Linked DNA regions of Alligator mississippiensis. The protein of the gene in region 2 purifies or fractionates together with the protein of the main gene of each other region. This does not show direct contact. Links are inferred from orthologs where the notes say so. Each region holds a gene or a part of one and is shown on either strand. Other genes may lie near its edges. The genes, in order: GOLM1 and SLC7A14.

Region 1 (7,977 bases), on a different chromosome or scaffold from region 2:
AGAGAAATGGTTCTCAACTTTTTGTAGACTAGAGGCACCAGTCCATAACTTTTTTAAATGGGGTGCAGCTCAATTCACAAAACTACCTTATTACAGTGCATATCATCTTGAGGAAGGGCCAGGCAGTGAGGAAAAAGGAGCAGCCAGGCAGGGAGAGCCCAAACCTGCCCTTATGTACTTACCCTCTCACATGCCAGTAACACCCTGGTTGTGAATCACTGCTTTAGAGAGTACAGTAACCCACCAAGAATGTTATATCCTGCTTCCAAGAGGCTTGCTTGTTCTTTAAGAGCTCAGTGTAGTACTCTCACTTAGTGCCCCAAAGAGGCCAACTAATCCAACCACTCCTCTCAAATGAAGTTTATATGTAATTTTATGCTGCATTTTTCCTTCCCTCAGTAACAAATATCAGTATTATACCAGTTAAAGCAAAGTTAAAAAGAGGCAAGGCTCAGTGGTGGGTGATATAAGGAAGTTTACAAGAGGCAGATAGCTGACTGAATGATATTTTATCCAACTCCAAGGTACAAAAAAGCTCATTAATGAGGTTAACAGCTTGCTGAATATAAATGAAGTACTACAGTATTACTCAGAACTGATGCTGCTGAATATTTTGTCACAAATGGATATCAATTCCTTAGAAATTAAGGAATCTTCTACATGAGAAATGCCGCTTACAACTTAGAAAGCCATTACTCTGTCCCAGTGGTTCTCAGCTTTCTTAGCATCACAGCATCCCTATATAGTGTTAAAGAACTGCTCATAAAATGTTAGCTCTTAGCTGTCACTCATTTTTGGACTACAGAAAAATATAGTAATTCTTCTGTCACAGAGCCCTGAAAGACTACAACAGGTCAGAATGTGTTTAACACTGTGGATTCCTATTTGCAATCTCTGAGTTTATCTTTTGGATGATGCTTGCACACCTAACAGTGCTAACACAGTATGCAACCCTGCAGTACTGTTGAAAGGATCTCAAGGCATCCCAGGATGCCATGGCACCCTGACTGAAAACCACTGCTCTGTTCTACAAGCTAGAGATTTCTTCCTTCTATAAAACCATTTACATCATGGGAAATAGCATGTTTCTATCAGCCCCAACGCTGAAAGAAAAACAGACCTTCTACATGTACTGCACTTTAAAAATCCAAAACAGGTCTACAGAGAGAGTGCTGTACAGACATTCAGTTTCTCCTGGGAGAGCCACTACTCTGTCAGGAGAAACCATGAGCATACACATGCTTAGGCTTCTTCTCCCAAAATAGTTTTTTTTTCCCCAGGAGAAAAATAACTTGGGAACAAATCAGGGTTAAACTGCTCGCAGGAGAGCTTCTCCTGGAAGAGTGAATGTCTGTACATATCGTCTGTCTAAAGCAGGCATTTACACAGAAGGGAAGTTGCACAGGGGTGTAGCTGGGTGTATGCTGTTATATACCTAATGTCATCACCAACCACATTCATGAAAATACATCTCTTTGAACCAAGACTCAGGTAAGCCAAGCCCACACTTGGACAATGCTAAGCTCTGCCACTCTTCAGCACAGACAGACTTCCTGAAGAGGCTAACGAAGCAGCTGAAGAGGAGAATGACACAAACACATATCCACTTCGTGTCTAAGGCTGAGTCTATACCTACATGGGTCTACACAGGTGCAGATCTACCCTGCCCTCCGCTGGATTTCAGGCTAACAGGGCTAAGCGCCTCTCTCCACACACACAGACCCACCCACATAGACAGATGTGCGAGCACGCACCCACACACGCACAAGACACCTGTGTGGACATGTGGACAACCACATAGGTGTGATGCATGTGTGCTCACGCACACACAAGCGCGTGTCAGGTGCATGCCTGCCCACGCACACACGCGAGATGCAAGCATGCCCACGCGAGATATGAGCACGCCCACGAACACACAAACACAAGATGCATGTGTGAGCACGCTCACACACACTTGAGATGCGAGCATGCCCATGTGCACACACGCGCACACAAGACACGGGTGCGCCCACACGTGTGACACGCATGTGCACACACGACAGGTGCACGCGTGCCCACGTACGAGACATGCACGCCCACGCAACACACCCAAATGAGATGCATGTGCCCATGCAACACGCACACGCAACAGGTGTGTGCCCCCCCCGCACACCCACGAGAGACGTGTGCAAGCACAACACATGACTGACACATGCACAGGGCACGATCGGCATGAGTGCACATGCACACACACACACGACAGACACACGAGTGCACGCGGCACACGCACGTAGTCCCCCGCACAAGACGCAGGTGAAGAGGCGGCCTCCCCCCGCGCACCCGCACCCGCGCGGAGGTCCCGGCCCCGGCGTGCTCGTTTCCCGCGGGCTCCCGCCCCCAAGTCACCTTCTCCCTGCTCGGGGCCGGGCCGGGCCGGGCCGGGCCGGGGAGGGGAGTCCCCCCTGCCCCCGGCTTGGCGCGGCTTGGCGTGGAGCTGCGGCTCCGCCGAGACAAAGAGCGGGGCGGCGGGTGGACGGGCAGGGCGCTGCGCCGCGCTCACCTCTCCCAAGCCGGGCCGGGCTGCTTCGCGCGCGCCCGCCCCACGGCCGGCAGGGAGGCGGCGCCGCGGGCAGGGCAGGGCAGCGCAGCGCAGCGCAGCGCAGGAAGTGCGGCGGGAGGAGGGCGAAGGCAGCCTGCCAATGGCGGCCAGGTCGGGCGCCCCCCTCCCTCGGCGCGGGACAGCCCCTCAGCGCGCCGCCTCGTCGGCTCCCCGCCCGGCGCCGCCTCAGTGCCCGCCGCCAGCTCCCCCCGGCCATGTGGGCTCTGGCCGCTCGGCACAGCCCGCGCGGGGGAGATGCCGCTGGCAGCCTGGCCTGGGCAAAGCAGGAGGCACTTGGCCACAGGCTCTGGCCCTTGGCTGTAGCTGAGGGAAAGCGGGGTGAGATCGGTACCTTGCAGAGCAGAGCTGGGTCCATCAGCTTTGGTCAGCAGCAGCAGCTTGCTCCAGGGGGTGCCCCAAAGACACTCCTAGGGCATGGGCGAGGCGTAGGGGTGCACATGCACCCCCCGTGATTGGCTGCCACCAACGCTGCAGGTGGTCACCGACTGCAGGTCAGCGCTCGCCTACTCCGCCCCCCGAGTCGCCTCCCCTGCTCCCCCTCCCCCGGCAGCTGACACTGCTGTGGCCACCAGTGGGCAGTCACCAGGCCCCCCCAAACTCCAGGGGCATGCATCGTTCATGGCCCTGGGAGAAGTCGGGCTGGAAGGGACCTCCCAGAGGTCACCTAGTCCAGCACCCCTGCCTGAGGCAGGACCATCCCTGTCTAAACTTTCCCACACACATCCTTCATCTAAACTAGTGCTTCTCAAACTTTTCTTCTCCATTTATGGCCCCTTTTCCTCAGCATGACCCCTTGCTCCCCACCCCCATGACCCCATCCACTGATATATGCAACCTCATTTGGAGTCAAGACCCAGTTTGGGAATCGCTGATCTAAAAACACTTCACAAGACTGCCTTGTGCCCTGACGCAACACATGCCTCAACAACTTCACCTGCCACAGGTAAAGCAGGGGAACCCTTACAACCAATGTCTCCTGCCTAATGCCTGACTTGAGACTATCAGGACTGGCTGCTGCTAATCCTGCTAAGAGTGTTATGAGCCCCAGTTACAATCAAATCTTGTGGTTTCAGACCCTGGTTTCACAAAAGCCCTCCAAAAAGGCCAAGACTGCTATTGTTACAGTGTCACTGGTGTGATTTTTATTATGGACAAAAGCAACAACTCAATTAATGCCAGCTAGATCCATACCACAGACTTACAGTTGGGGGAAAAAGAATCTCCATTATCCCATTCTTCCTAATGTCTTGAAGCTTTGTGTGAGGGAATATTTCCTTTTAACGTTCTGAAGAGTAATAAACTTCATGTTTTAAAATGTGTTACATCACCAGCCAGCACCATCCCCTAGCCTGTATGTCTGCAGTCTAAATTGAGAGAGACATAAAAAAAAAATAAAAATAACTGCTATAGTCCAAGCTTTCAACAATTATTATTGATTGGGCAGGCCTCAGTATCTTGAGCTTGATGCCTGACACACATGAATGTCTGACAAACGGAGCATCCACACAACCCAGAAAACTAAAAGCCAATGTTAGAAAAAAAGGGGTCCACACTATTTACATTTCTGAGGAAGAGAGCCATCTGGATGCAGCTGAGTATTTCACGTGCTTATGTAACACCATGAATTGATTCAGAACATTTTTTTTCAATATGTTTTGGAATCATGTAAAACTTTCACTACAATTCTGGTGAAAAACAAACTTTTTATGAGTGTGTAAGACTGAGGGAAGGGGTGCAACAGCAACCATTCCTCAACCAGTTGGAACCCCAATTTGTTAGCTTTGCTTCCACATCCTGTTTTCCTTTCAAGATGGGACAGACAGAATAGAACAGCAGAGGGAAAGAAGCTTGTAAAACTACTCAAATGCATCATTATGTGGACAATAAAGTATGTGAAGAAGTTTGAAAATTATTCGCAGAAATAAATTATTTTGAGATAAAATGTCTCCTGTGGATTCTTACCTAGGAGGTTTAATAAAAAGATTCCAATTTCTGTTGGAACGAACAGTTTAATAAAAATTCATATGCTGCAGTGCCAAGCTTCAAAAAACCGTCAGGTTGGATCTGGATTCTCATTCCCAGTTTCTTATCCAAAGACCTTTAAAAAAATAGAAATTTAACCAAAATAATTTGAATTTATTTATATAAATTTATATTCATATTTATTAATTGGATTGTTCAAAGTAAGGAACTGGACTTCGAGTGGCTGTAAGTGAAAAGAAATACCTAAAGGATCATCTTCAATGTAATGTCCCTTGTGTCCTCAGACTTTTAAGCTATCTGGCGGATGTCATTCCCTACCTTGGAGCTTTTTTCTTTGTGAAATTAGCAGGCTATATCACCAGCTTCCACCACCCAGCACACATGTACGTACACATACTGAGTTGTATTTTGAATAAGAAACTGGATTTTTAACCCCCACATAAATGATGAAATACTCCTTGGATCACACTAAAGTTATGTAGTGCTATATCACCCCTCCAAAATCCTTACCAACCTGAAGCAGACATAAGCCTTTTTATAATAGGTGCTGTGCTTTTAAAACACTATGAGACAAGGACATTTTACTATGCTTGTACAGCACTTAGCACAATGGAAACTCATTCCTGCCCCAAGGCAATTTAAATATAATAAGTAAAGGTGTGCTCAAATACTGTATGCGCCTACTCTTCATGCTCGTGTTACTCAGCTGAGTGTCTGCCCTAGTAACTCTATTGATAACGCATCTTAATTTTCTCTCTGCTAGACGTGAAAAGGATAAAATCAGTTAGGAAAAAATATCACATCAAATCCTAGCATGTTGATGCCACTGACTTTTCAGCAAGGCCAGGATTTCTCCTCACATTTTCAAGCTAAAAGAAGAGAGGGAAAAGTTCAAAATGTTTTAAAATTAAAAGGATAGCCCTTTTAATTGGTTTTTACCTTAGAATTGTACTCTTTAACAGCATACGTTTGAAGATGTACAAGGAACACTGTTCTTTTAAAGTATTGTAAAAATTCTTTGGAGCCTGTGTCAATGAGATTCTCAAATGAAGCCAATTGTATGCATGGAAATATTATATAAAAAGGGTGCAGCAAGGTAAGAATATCGCTGCAAAGATGACTGGGAGCAAGGTTAACCATTTTAAGGAAGGAGTGGGAGTAGGACTTTCAGTAGAGGTGTGACTCTCATAATATTAGTAATGGTTATTTATGGACTAGTCACAGTTGAGATACCTAGTAGGTAGGTACAACCCTGATGCAGTTGAGGCAAAACCAATTTCACTCTTAGAAGTTCAAACTTTTAACAATGCTAGCCACTTGCTGAGCAGAAGTATCATGTAAAAGTCCTTAGGGTTGAAAAGCATAGCCTTCATTTCATCAATTAGCACTGCTACTGCTACATCGGAGCCTAAACACAGCACCTACCTAAAGAGTAGGTGCTGATCAAACGAATATGTCCCCTTAAGAAAAAAAAAAACAAAGCAAAAGGCATTCCAATGTTGAAGAAAGAATATGTTTCTGCTTAAAGACACTATGCAAATTGATCAAGGACAGTTCATCCATGTGAAAAGATTATCTTAAAGTTTAGAAAGAACCATGACTCCAAGAAGTAGCTGACATATAAATGCTTGACACGTACAGTCTAGCATCTTTAAATATTTATCAGGCCTGTTTTATATATTCTGTGCTTTATGAAAGGTTTCTATCATTTCCATTAATGAATCAAAGTTCTAAGTCTATGCAAAATAATGTGTTCCCTTTTTCCTCACATTCTGCTGTCTTCTAACTTTGCTCTCTGCTCTTATCCTGCCAATTTTGCCATTAGGCAGTAAATAATTTATGTTATTAAAACCCAGGAGGATGAGTTACACACACGTTGCACCTAAAAGCCACATTTTGATCATGTAAAAGACATAGGGTCCTTGTGAAAGTTAGCTATATAGGAAAGCAATATTATATTTATTGGTCTTGGAGACTGTCCTCATGGAATATATACAAAATACAGAAAATACCTTCTTTTCAGAATCGTGTATCCACCACTGTTACCAGAATACAATAATGCCTTTGTAAGAGGTCACTTCTACTGAAATTCACTCCTCCCTTAAACTAAGTTGTCAACCAAGCATACCTAAGAGTTACTGATGTAGTGTTAGTCTTAACCTTGAACTTCCTTGTTCTGTCCATGTATTAGACATGCACACACATAGGCACAAAAAGAGGGAAGAACAATAGCACATGAGAAAATACAGTTTCTGTCTGTAACAGATACAGTGATTTCCAGTGACTGGAAAACTGCAGGCACAGCTTATCATATGTGAATTTATTACCTATTCCAGAACTTGGCATACTGAATCAGAATGTTGCAGCAATGTGTATAGCTTGCCTTTTTGGTCATAGCCAAAGTGATGTTTGTTCTGAATGGCTAAGCTAAATTCTTATTACACAAGGATAAAGAGACAAAAGGAAAAAAGTGCAAAAGAAAGGATGAAGGTGAAGAAAGAAACAAACAAGTTAGAGATTGTGTAAGGGTAGATACTTTGTGTTCACATCTGAGTTATTGTTTAAGATTTAGCCAACACAATGACCTCAACTTGCTCTTTCTGTCTTAGCCAAAATCCTGGGTGCAGTCAATGGAAATGTAATCATTGACTTCAGTGGAGACAGGGTTTTACCCCTTGTCAGAACATTTGTAAGGATCATGGTAAAAAAAGATGGTAAATTATAGGGTCCCATACATGAACGACGCGTGCCCCCAGGGGCTGGGGGGCACAGTGACTGCCTGCAGGCAGCGGCGGTAGCAATGCGCGAGGAGCTCCTGCAAGCAGCCGTAGCAGTGTCAGCAGCGGGGGAAGAGGTGGCGAGCGCTGACTGGCAGTTGGCAACCACCTGCAGACGTCACCAGCAGAGTCGGCGGCAAGGGCAGGTGGTGAGCAGCAACCGCCCACAGGCACCACCAGCAGCATCAGCAGCACTTGTTGGAGGTGCACCACCAATCTCACGGAGTGCACTTGCAACTGTGTGCACCCCCTATGCATTACCAATGGTCCCACACGTGGTAGTAATGCCTGCTAATTCTCTTTGACATCTATAAACTTAGTGCTAATGTTCTTCCTCCCTGAACCAAAAAAACAAAAGTTCTTTAGAAGGGATATATCTAAAAGGGGCTGGACTCACCAAATACCAAATCAGGACAAAAACCCAGTGTTAAGAGGCCCTTCCTTCTTCTTAATGACGATCTGCTCAGTTGCTCAACCAATATTGTAATTTCACCAGGAGCTGTCTCTATCTCATTCCTTGTCTATCTAAGTATACACCTTCAGGCAACAGGCCTCACATGCCTAGGGTTACCATATTTCCAGTTTCAAAAGAGGACACCTGTCAGAAGGGGTGGGGGA
Region 2 (7,751 bases):
TGAGGTATATAACTTGCCTGACTAAAACACAACTTGTGTTTAGGTAAAGGCATTCAGTCTTGACATGAAGACCTAAAAAATGGGAGATATGATACTTCCCAGGAGAGCATATTCTAATGGTTAATCACATCCTCTACTAAAAACTTGTGTCTTATTTCTAATTTGAATTTGACTGGCTCTGGTTTGTTCCTATTGCACATTTTTTGTCTTTGTCTTTTTTTTTTTTTACTAGGAAAAACACAGCCCTTTAGTAGCCAGTATTTGTTTCCTGTGTAGATATTTACATATCGTAAATGTGCCCGTCAGTCATCTTTTTGATTATCTATGCAGGTGGATCTCTTTAGTTCTCACAGGGCATGTCTACACATGCATTAAGGTGCTTCTTCTAATGCACATTCAATTTAGTACTCCAATGTGAGGGACTAAAGAAATGTGCATTAGGCTTCCTTAATATGCAGTAACAAATGTGCACTGTTTTTAAGTGATACTTAATGTGATGCCTATTTTACTGTGCATTAGTTGTCATTGTAGTTTTTTATGTGATACTTTAATAAGCAGTAAAATAGCTGACTGTGCATTAAAATGCACTTGTAGACATTCCCACACTGTACAGCATTTTCTCCACCCCTCAAATTATTTGGTGACACTTTCTTGAAGTCTCTTAATTTTTCAGACTTCCTCTTTAAAATGTGGACATCAGAACTGTACACAATGTCCCAGTATCAGTTTCACAATGCTATGTGCAAGAGTAAAATCACCTCCCTGCTCCAAGTCACCGCTCCCCTGTTTATACAAATATTTAATGTGCTCCTTTTGCCTCAAGTGGCACTTAACTCGCTTGTCTCCTCAGATCTTTTTTAGAGTCACTGCATTCTGCATATGTAGTCTGCATTCCTTTTTCTGGAGGAATAACTTCATATATGGGGATATTAAAACATTCTGTTTAAATGGGACCTGCTTACTAGGTGATCCAAATTACTGTTTGATTTTCCTGCCCTCATAATTATTTGCTACTCTGTTGATCTTTGAGCTATCTGCAAAGTTTATCAAAAGTGATTATGTTTGTTTAAAGATCGCTGATGAAAATGTGCAGTAGCAGTGGGCCTAGTAGTGATCCCCAAGGAACTGCAGAAACCCACCCATTCAACAAATAGTCCCAAATGACAACTGCTTTTTGAGTCTGGTTAGTTAGTCAGGTCTTAAGCTAGATAATGTGCACTCTAATGATATTGTTTGGTACTATTTTTTTTATTTGGAAGGTGTCAGTGTTCAGTCAAACACCTTACACAAAGTTAAATACAATACATCTATGCACTTACTTTCATTAACCAAACTCAGATGACAAATTGAACAATGTCATTGAACAAATGTCATGGTAAAATTTACTTGCCTACTACTTGGGAATGTTGAGAGGATGAGTTAAATAATGGGCCAGATTAATGTCATTAAGCCATACCTCCCTGAGCAGGGCCAATTTGCATCAGTGGACAGGAGTTTTCCCTTGGGGTGGCAAATGTTACTATTGCTTTTTTAACTTTTTAAAATTTTGGAGGATTTGAGGAACAGGATTCAGAGGTTCCACTGGAACCCAGCAGACAACAACCTAAAACAGCTTGTGCAAACCATGAGAAGACTGTACCTGAGGAGAAAGCGACCTCCTGTTTAACTAGTTTTGAACAGAAATGGGAGGATTTTCAAAGTATTTTAAGCAGATGAAAAGGGCTGGCTATATGGCAGGTAAGATGGGACCCTGGAGTCACCTCAGGGTGAATGTGACCACTACTGCTTACACTCTTTGAAAACTGGGAGCATCAAGCCACACATTTGGGAGCTCATCCTTTTCTTAACAATGTCAGGCTGTTTTCTTCCTGTTATCCATAGAATGGCTTTCTTAACTTAAAGGTGTTTGTACTTTAAATATTCCTGGCTAGCAGAGCCTTTTACTGATGTGAAAAATGAGGGTTTCAGCACCTCGAACAGCGCCCACATCTACTACTTATTCTGTAGTGCACTTCTGGGCTCTTTCAACCCATGTTTATAAATAAATATTCAGCTTTATAGAGCCCTTTTCATCCCCAAAATTCTGTGAAACCATCAGCTAACCTATTTAACTTCCATGATAGATAGATAGATAGATAGATAGATAGATAGATAGATAGATAGATAGATAATTATATCTCAGACTAATGAGCTGAGACAGAGAGAGAACTTGTGGCTATGACAAGAACAGATTTCAAGTCCATCAACCACAATCCAGGTTTTTGAAAAAAAGGAGATGAATCATTTTTCACATCAAGCAAAATTAGCCCTTCTCTGAGGCCTCTCCATTTTGCCGGCAACTAATGACGTCCAGTCCCTTTCCACAGGAGGACTTGTCTTACGGCAAGGGAGATAAATCACACGGCGAGCCTGCCAGGTAGCTGTAACCAGCCATTCACTTTCTGTGCCTGCTTTACAATCTCTTTCTCTCCTGTCCTACCCGTTACCTGCCTCCTTGACATCCTATAGCCCTTTCAGGCCTGGACACCCCTTCTCAGCACCGTCTTATTTTGGACAAGACAAGCCAGGACAAGAAAGCAGCGCTGGGCCTGGACCGTTTCTGTCAGATCCGCTGGTATTTATCCATTCGCTCTGCATCTCGCTCGGCTTCCTATTCATCCTGAGCTCATCCGACTTCAACCCATCACGTCCCCTGCTCCCTTTCACCGCGCAGCCTTGAGACCCACACGAGTCCCTGGGACCCCCCCCCCCTCCGTTTGGCGGCCCCTCAGCCAAGAGAAGCAAGCAAAGAGACATCCATTCACTGATGCCGGGGTTGGAAAGGACCTCAACGGATCATGGAGTCCGACCCCCTGCCCTGGGCGGGAAAGAGCGCTGGGGTCAGACGCCCCCCCAGAGACGGGCCCACGCGGCGATGCCTCGCTGGCCAAGGGGAGCAAAGGGACAGGGACACCGCCTCGTCCTGGGGGCAGACCCCAGCGTCCCTCCCAACTTGGCCAGACCCCCTGCATCCCGCTTGCGCCCCAGCAGGAAAGTGGTGGCCACCCCCGCCCCACAGGGCAGCCCCAGGTGCGCGGTCCCCCGTCCCCGCAGGCACTCACCCGGCGCGGGAGGCCGCTGGGCAGGGCAGGGCAGGGCAGGGCTGCGGCGCGGCGCGGCGCGGTGCGCTCGGTGCCGGGGGAGCTGCGTGCGCGGGGAGACGCGGCTCCGCGCTGCCGCCGGCCGAGGCTGCAGCGGGCTGCGGGCGGGCGGGCGGGCGGGCGGGGCGGGCTGGCTCCAGCCCGGGCTGCGGGCGGGCGGGGAGGCGGCGCTGCAGCTCCTCAATTATTCAGAGCTTCCCCCGCCACGTGATCCGCCCGCGCCGCAGGTCCCGCCTGCCCGCCCCGCACCGGGGTCTCGCACTGCCCCTGCGAGCCCTGCCCTTGCCTCGGCGCAAGGGATACGCCCCATCTTTGCGAGAAGACACACCAGGCACTGCGACCCTCCGCGGGGTCTGGCTGCCGCGGGCGCGCTGGGGGCTGCGGAGGAAGCTGCGCCGCTCACCTGTGCCCCCAGCATCTGTCTCTGGCGCGGCAGCTGCCCATTGCCTGCCCTGGGAATGGCCTTTCCCAGGTGCCTTGCAGAGGGAGCGTGAGGTCTCTCAAAGAGGGCGAGGGGCCCCTCTCCTCTCCTCTCCTCTCCTCTCCTCTCCTGGAGCTCGGCTACCCTGTACAATTCAGGCCACAGGTTTCATGGCTTCTAGGGTCAGAAGGGACCTGAACAGATCATCAAGTCCGAGCCCCTGCCCTGGGAAGGAACGAGCGCTGGGATCGTAATACCCCAGCCAGGTATCTATCCAACTGCCTCTTGAATGTCTCAAACACACAAAGGCGTTTCGGTCACATGCTGGACGCTGTGTCTTTCCCTGCTTTAGTCCTGACCCACGGAAAGAGATTCTGGGATCTGCTGGGGCTTGGTCTGAAGTTACTCCCCATCCCCTCAACGCCTGCTCCTTGCGCGCTAGCCCACTGTGTTACATTTTGGTCGGTGATTGTGGTTTGCCTTATTGGAAAGATAGGGTCCACTTGCCAAATACAGGGCCAGGTTTTGAACACACTCTTGTTTTGTGTTGGGAAGTTTGGGCTGCGATGAACGTTCTCGGCCTCTTGTCGGTCATTTGCTTCTCAGCCTCTTGTCAGCTCAGATCAAGTGTATTTCCCATTGCCTTTTTTCATTTAGTGTCTGCACTGAATTCTTGCCACCTTCTTTGAACCCTTCCATAAATTTCCACTTTCCCTTATTCATTTGTTTAATATCTTTGAAAACAATCTGGAACATGGGGTGGAGCGCACCCTCAGCAAGTTTGCAGATGACACCAAGCTGGGGGCACTAGTAGATATGCTGGAGGGTAGGGCTAGGATTCAGAGACCTCAAATAACTGAAGGACTGGACCAGAAGAAATATCATGAGGTTCAATAAGGACAAATGCAAAGTCCTGCGCTTAGGATGGATCAGTCCCATGCAGTAGTACAGGCTGGAGGGCGATTGGCTAAGTAGCAACTCTGCAGAAAAAGACCTGGGGGTTACAGTGGACAATAAGCTGAATATGAACCAACAGTGTGCCTTTGCTGCAAATAAGTCTAACGGTGTACTGGGCTGCATTAGTGACAGCGCTGCCAGCAGAGTAGGGGAAATGATTCTTCCCCTCTATCTGGCACTGGTGAGGCCACATCTGAAGTACTGTGTCCAGTTTTGCACCCCCCCCCGCCCCCCGCGCTACATAAAGTATGTGAACAAATTGGAGAGAGTCCAGTGGATAGCATGGAGAATGGTTCAGGGTCTGGGGCACATGACTTATGAGAAGAGACTGAGGGAACTGGGCTCATTTAGTCTAGAAAAGAGAAAATTGAGAGGGGATTTAATAGCAGTCTTAAACTACCAGAAGTGGGGTTCAAAATAGGATACAGTTGGACTGTTCTCAGTGATGTCAGATGACAGAACAAGGAGCAACGGTCTCAAGTTGCAGCGAGGGAAGTTTAGTTTAGATATTAGGAAAAACTTTCTCGCAAGGAGGGTAGTAAAGCGCTGGAACAGGTTACCCAGAGAAGTTGTGGAACCTCCATGCTTGGAGTTTTTTAAGACCTGGTTAGACAAAACCTTGGCTGGGATGATTTAGTTGGGGTTGGTCCTGCTTTGAGCAGGGGGTTGGATTAGATGACCTCCTAAGGTCCCTTCCAACTCTAATTTTCTGTGCTTCTATGCTCCTGCCATTTTGACATGAAATCCAGATGTCCTCATTTCCAGCTGCTGCAGAGCAGTCATACTCTGTTTGATTTGCTTTGTCAGCAATATCTGAATAATTCAGTTTCCATAAAAATATTGAGCTATAAATTTGAATGTAGGCCATTGTCAAGTCTGTATGCTGGGCTGGAAAGATGTGGAAAGCAGGTATTATTTTTCTCCAGGCCCTGAAACAAAAATGATTCATGACTAAAAACAACAGTGAGCTCCTTTCTCTTTAGGAATCTAGTCTTTGCCTTCCCTGAATAGGGCATGATGGATAGTGTCTCAGCAACAGTGACTCTTGGGCACAAACTCTAGGGACAGTTATAGCTTTTAGAGTTATAGTTTCCCAATGAGTCATAAAGGTCATGAGGCCATATGCTGAGTGGTATTCTCTATGGCTTCCCAGAAGACCATAGTTTCCCAGTCCCCTATCTGTCCCATAGTTTCTGCATCTCTTCTTGGCTTTAACTCATATTCCTCTCATCCTTAAAGCAACCGCCATACTTCCAACTGACAAAGATTAAACAGAATTCCCTTCCAGACTGTTTCTTGGTCAACTGGAGGTATCAACACAGAATGACACGAATTGTTCCTTTCTTGTAGAACTTCTGAACTCTGCAGGCCTGGACAGTGAGACCGAAAGGTGCATCTCAAGCATAGAAGTACAGAACAATCCTTGATCTCCCTCACAACTCACAGCTTTGCAAACACCATGCAGTGGATTTTGTTGTCTTCCTTGTTCTTTAGTAGTATTAAAAAGAGCAAAGCTTAGAGCTAGAGATGCAGCCCTTTGTACACTTGGATTGTTTTCCCTGCTTTTCCATTCTTTCATGGTTCCTTTCTTGTTTCTCTGCTGTTTATATGATTCTTTTTCACTTCCACGCCCTTCACTTTTTGACTCAGTTCATGGGCAACAAAATGAAACGTACCGTGTGCAATTGCTGATCCCTGATCTTGTGAGTTTTACTTTGATGTTGCTATACAGACAAGCATAGAGTAGGAGGAGAGCAAATCCAAGCAAAAGAAAAATACTTCTTGTGGTGCTCTGTATGATTATACAGTACTTCTAATAGTTTCATGGATTAGAACTCAGTGTTGTGAGCCTTTTATGCTCATGTCAAATTCCTTTGTGCCTGTTCAGTGTGTGACTATATGATACTTATATCTTATATATATTTCTTAAATGATGGTTATTGTCAACAATTCAGGCCAAATTGTGTTGTGAGTTACTCCAGTTTGTAAATCCAGAGTAATTCCACTGGCTTTACCTGGGCAGGTTGTTGTAAGTGAGACCAGAACTGCTCAGTAAGGAGGCTACCTGGCAATAGTGTACTTTTTTCGCAGGTGTGTGTGTACATTTTGGTAGGTGTCTGAAAGAGGGGACACTGAGTATGCCTTAGAGCAGTGGTTTTCAACTTGTTGTCTGCAGACCCCCGAGGGTCTGCACACTGTGCGTAAGGGGTCTGAGAAAAATGACTATGATCAATCAAAAGTATGAGAATACACACACTTACAGTTCAAAAGAGTCTGTATCTCCATTTGAAATTTCCGAAGGGGTCTGTACCTCCATTCAAATTTTTTTAAGGGACCACAAATGAAAAAAGGTTGAAAACTACCGCCTTAAAATAAATCCACATTCTGCAATATCAAAAGATCATTTTCATTTTCTAATCCCCTTGTGACTCCTGTCCCCTATTGCTCTCAGTCATTTTGCTGTAGCATTTCTCCAGGCTTCTATTGCAGCTTAGCTCCTCTATGTTTGCTCCTGCTTCATCCAACATTAGCTATCACTAGCCATCCAGACCACTCCTGACCCCATATCCTTTTTTTTATAATGAAGGAATGATTCTTTGTCTGAAGCCCTTATAAGCTCTTGATGATTTAATCCTTTTTTTTTTCTTTAGTTACTTTATTTAAATCTCATTGAAATCTAAAATTTCCCTAGATGCCTCTTTAAAGTCTAAAGGTGTCTAAATTTGGATAAACTTGGATCTGTCAGGGACATAAAACTTTCTATACCAAGCCAATGATCCCTACACACCAATATCCCTGCTCAGAAAATGGCCAGTATGAGAATCCCCATAATGGGCAATTATGCAAACATTCCTCTCAAGCCCAGGTGGTCAGTGGATTATGTACCAAATTAGGAGAGATGATTTATTTTACAAAGTTTTATGTAATCACAGACAATATTCTCACCATTCTTTTAAATGGCAAATCTTTATTTGAACTCTATTAAGGTCTTGGCCTCAATGGTATCTTGTGGCAATGAGCTCCACAAGTTAATCATTTACTGTATCAAGCAGATTTAGGGATATGGCCTTTCCAGTTGCTCAGGCTGTCTCCATGTTATCTTCTAACACTGAATAAACATAAGCAGGAACACCCAATTGATTTTTCTCTCTTCCCTTCATTATCTTGTTTACCCCTCTTATAACCCTTATGTAACTAAACAGTCCTAACCTTATAAGCATTACAGGATGTTC

Evidence for each region.
Region 1: the proteins of SLC7A14 (region 2) and GOLM1 purify together in Homo sapiens (co-immunoprecipitation; 3 studies listed by BioGRID and IntAct, with this or other methods). This does not show direct contact. The link is inferred for Alligator mississippiensis from reciprocal best matches to the Homo sapiens genes SLC7A14 and GOLM1.

The regions. Positions count from the first base shown.
Region 1 is NC_081826.1:204,365,095-204,373,071, forward strand, and holds the start of GOLM1 (Golgi membrane protein 1), read right to left. Parts: upstream 3,017-7,977; 5' UTR 2,931-3,016; intron 2,647-2,930; exon of another isoform or gene 2,540-2,646; intron 2,529-2,539; exon of another isoform or gene 2,386-2,528; intron 1-2,385.
Region 2 is NC_081830.1:75,001,662-75,009,412, forward strand, and holds the start of SLC7A14 (probable cationic amino acid transporter), read right to left. Parts: upstream 3,201-7,751; 5' UTR 3,102-3,200; intron 1-3,101. UniProt on the Homo sapiens protein: Imports 4-aminobutanoate (GABA) into lysosomes. May act as a GABA sensor that regulates mTORC2-dependent INS signaling and gluconeogenesis. The transport mechanism and substrate selectivity remain to be elucidated.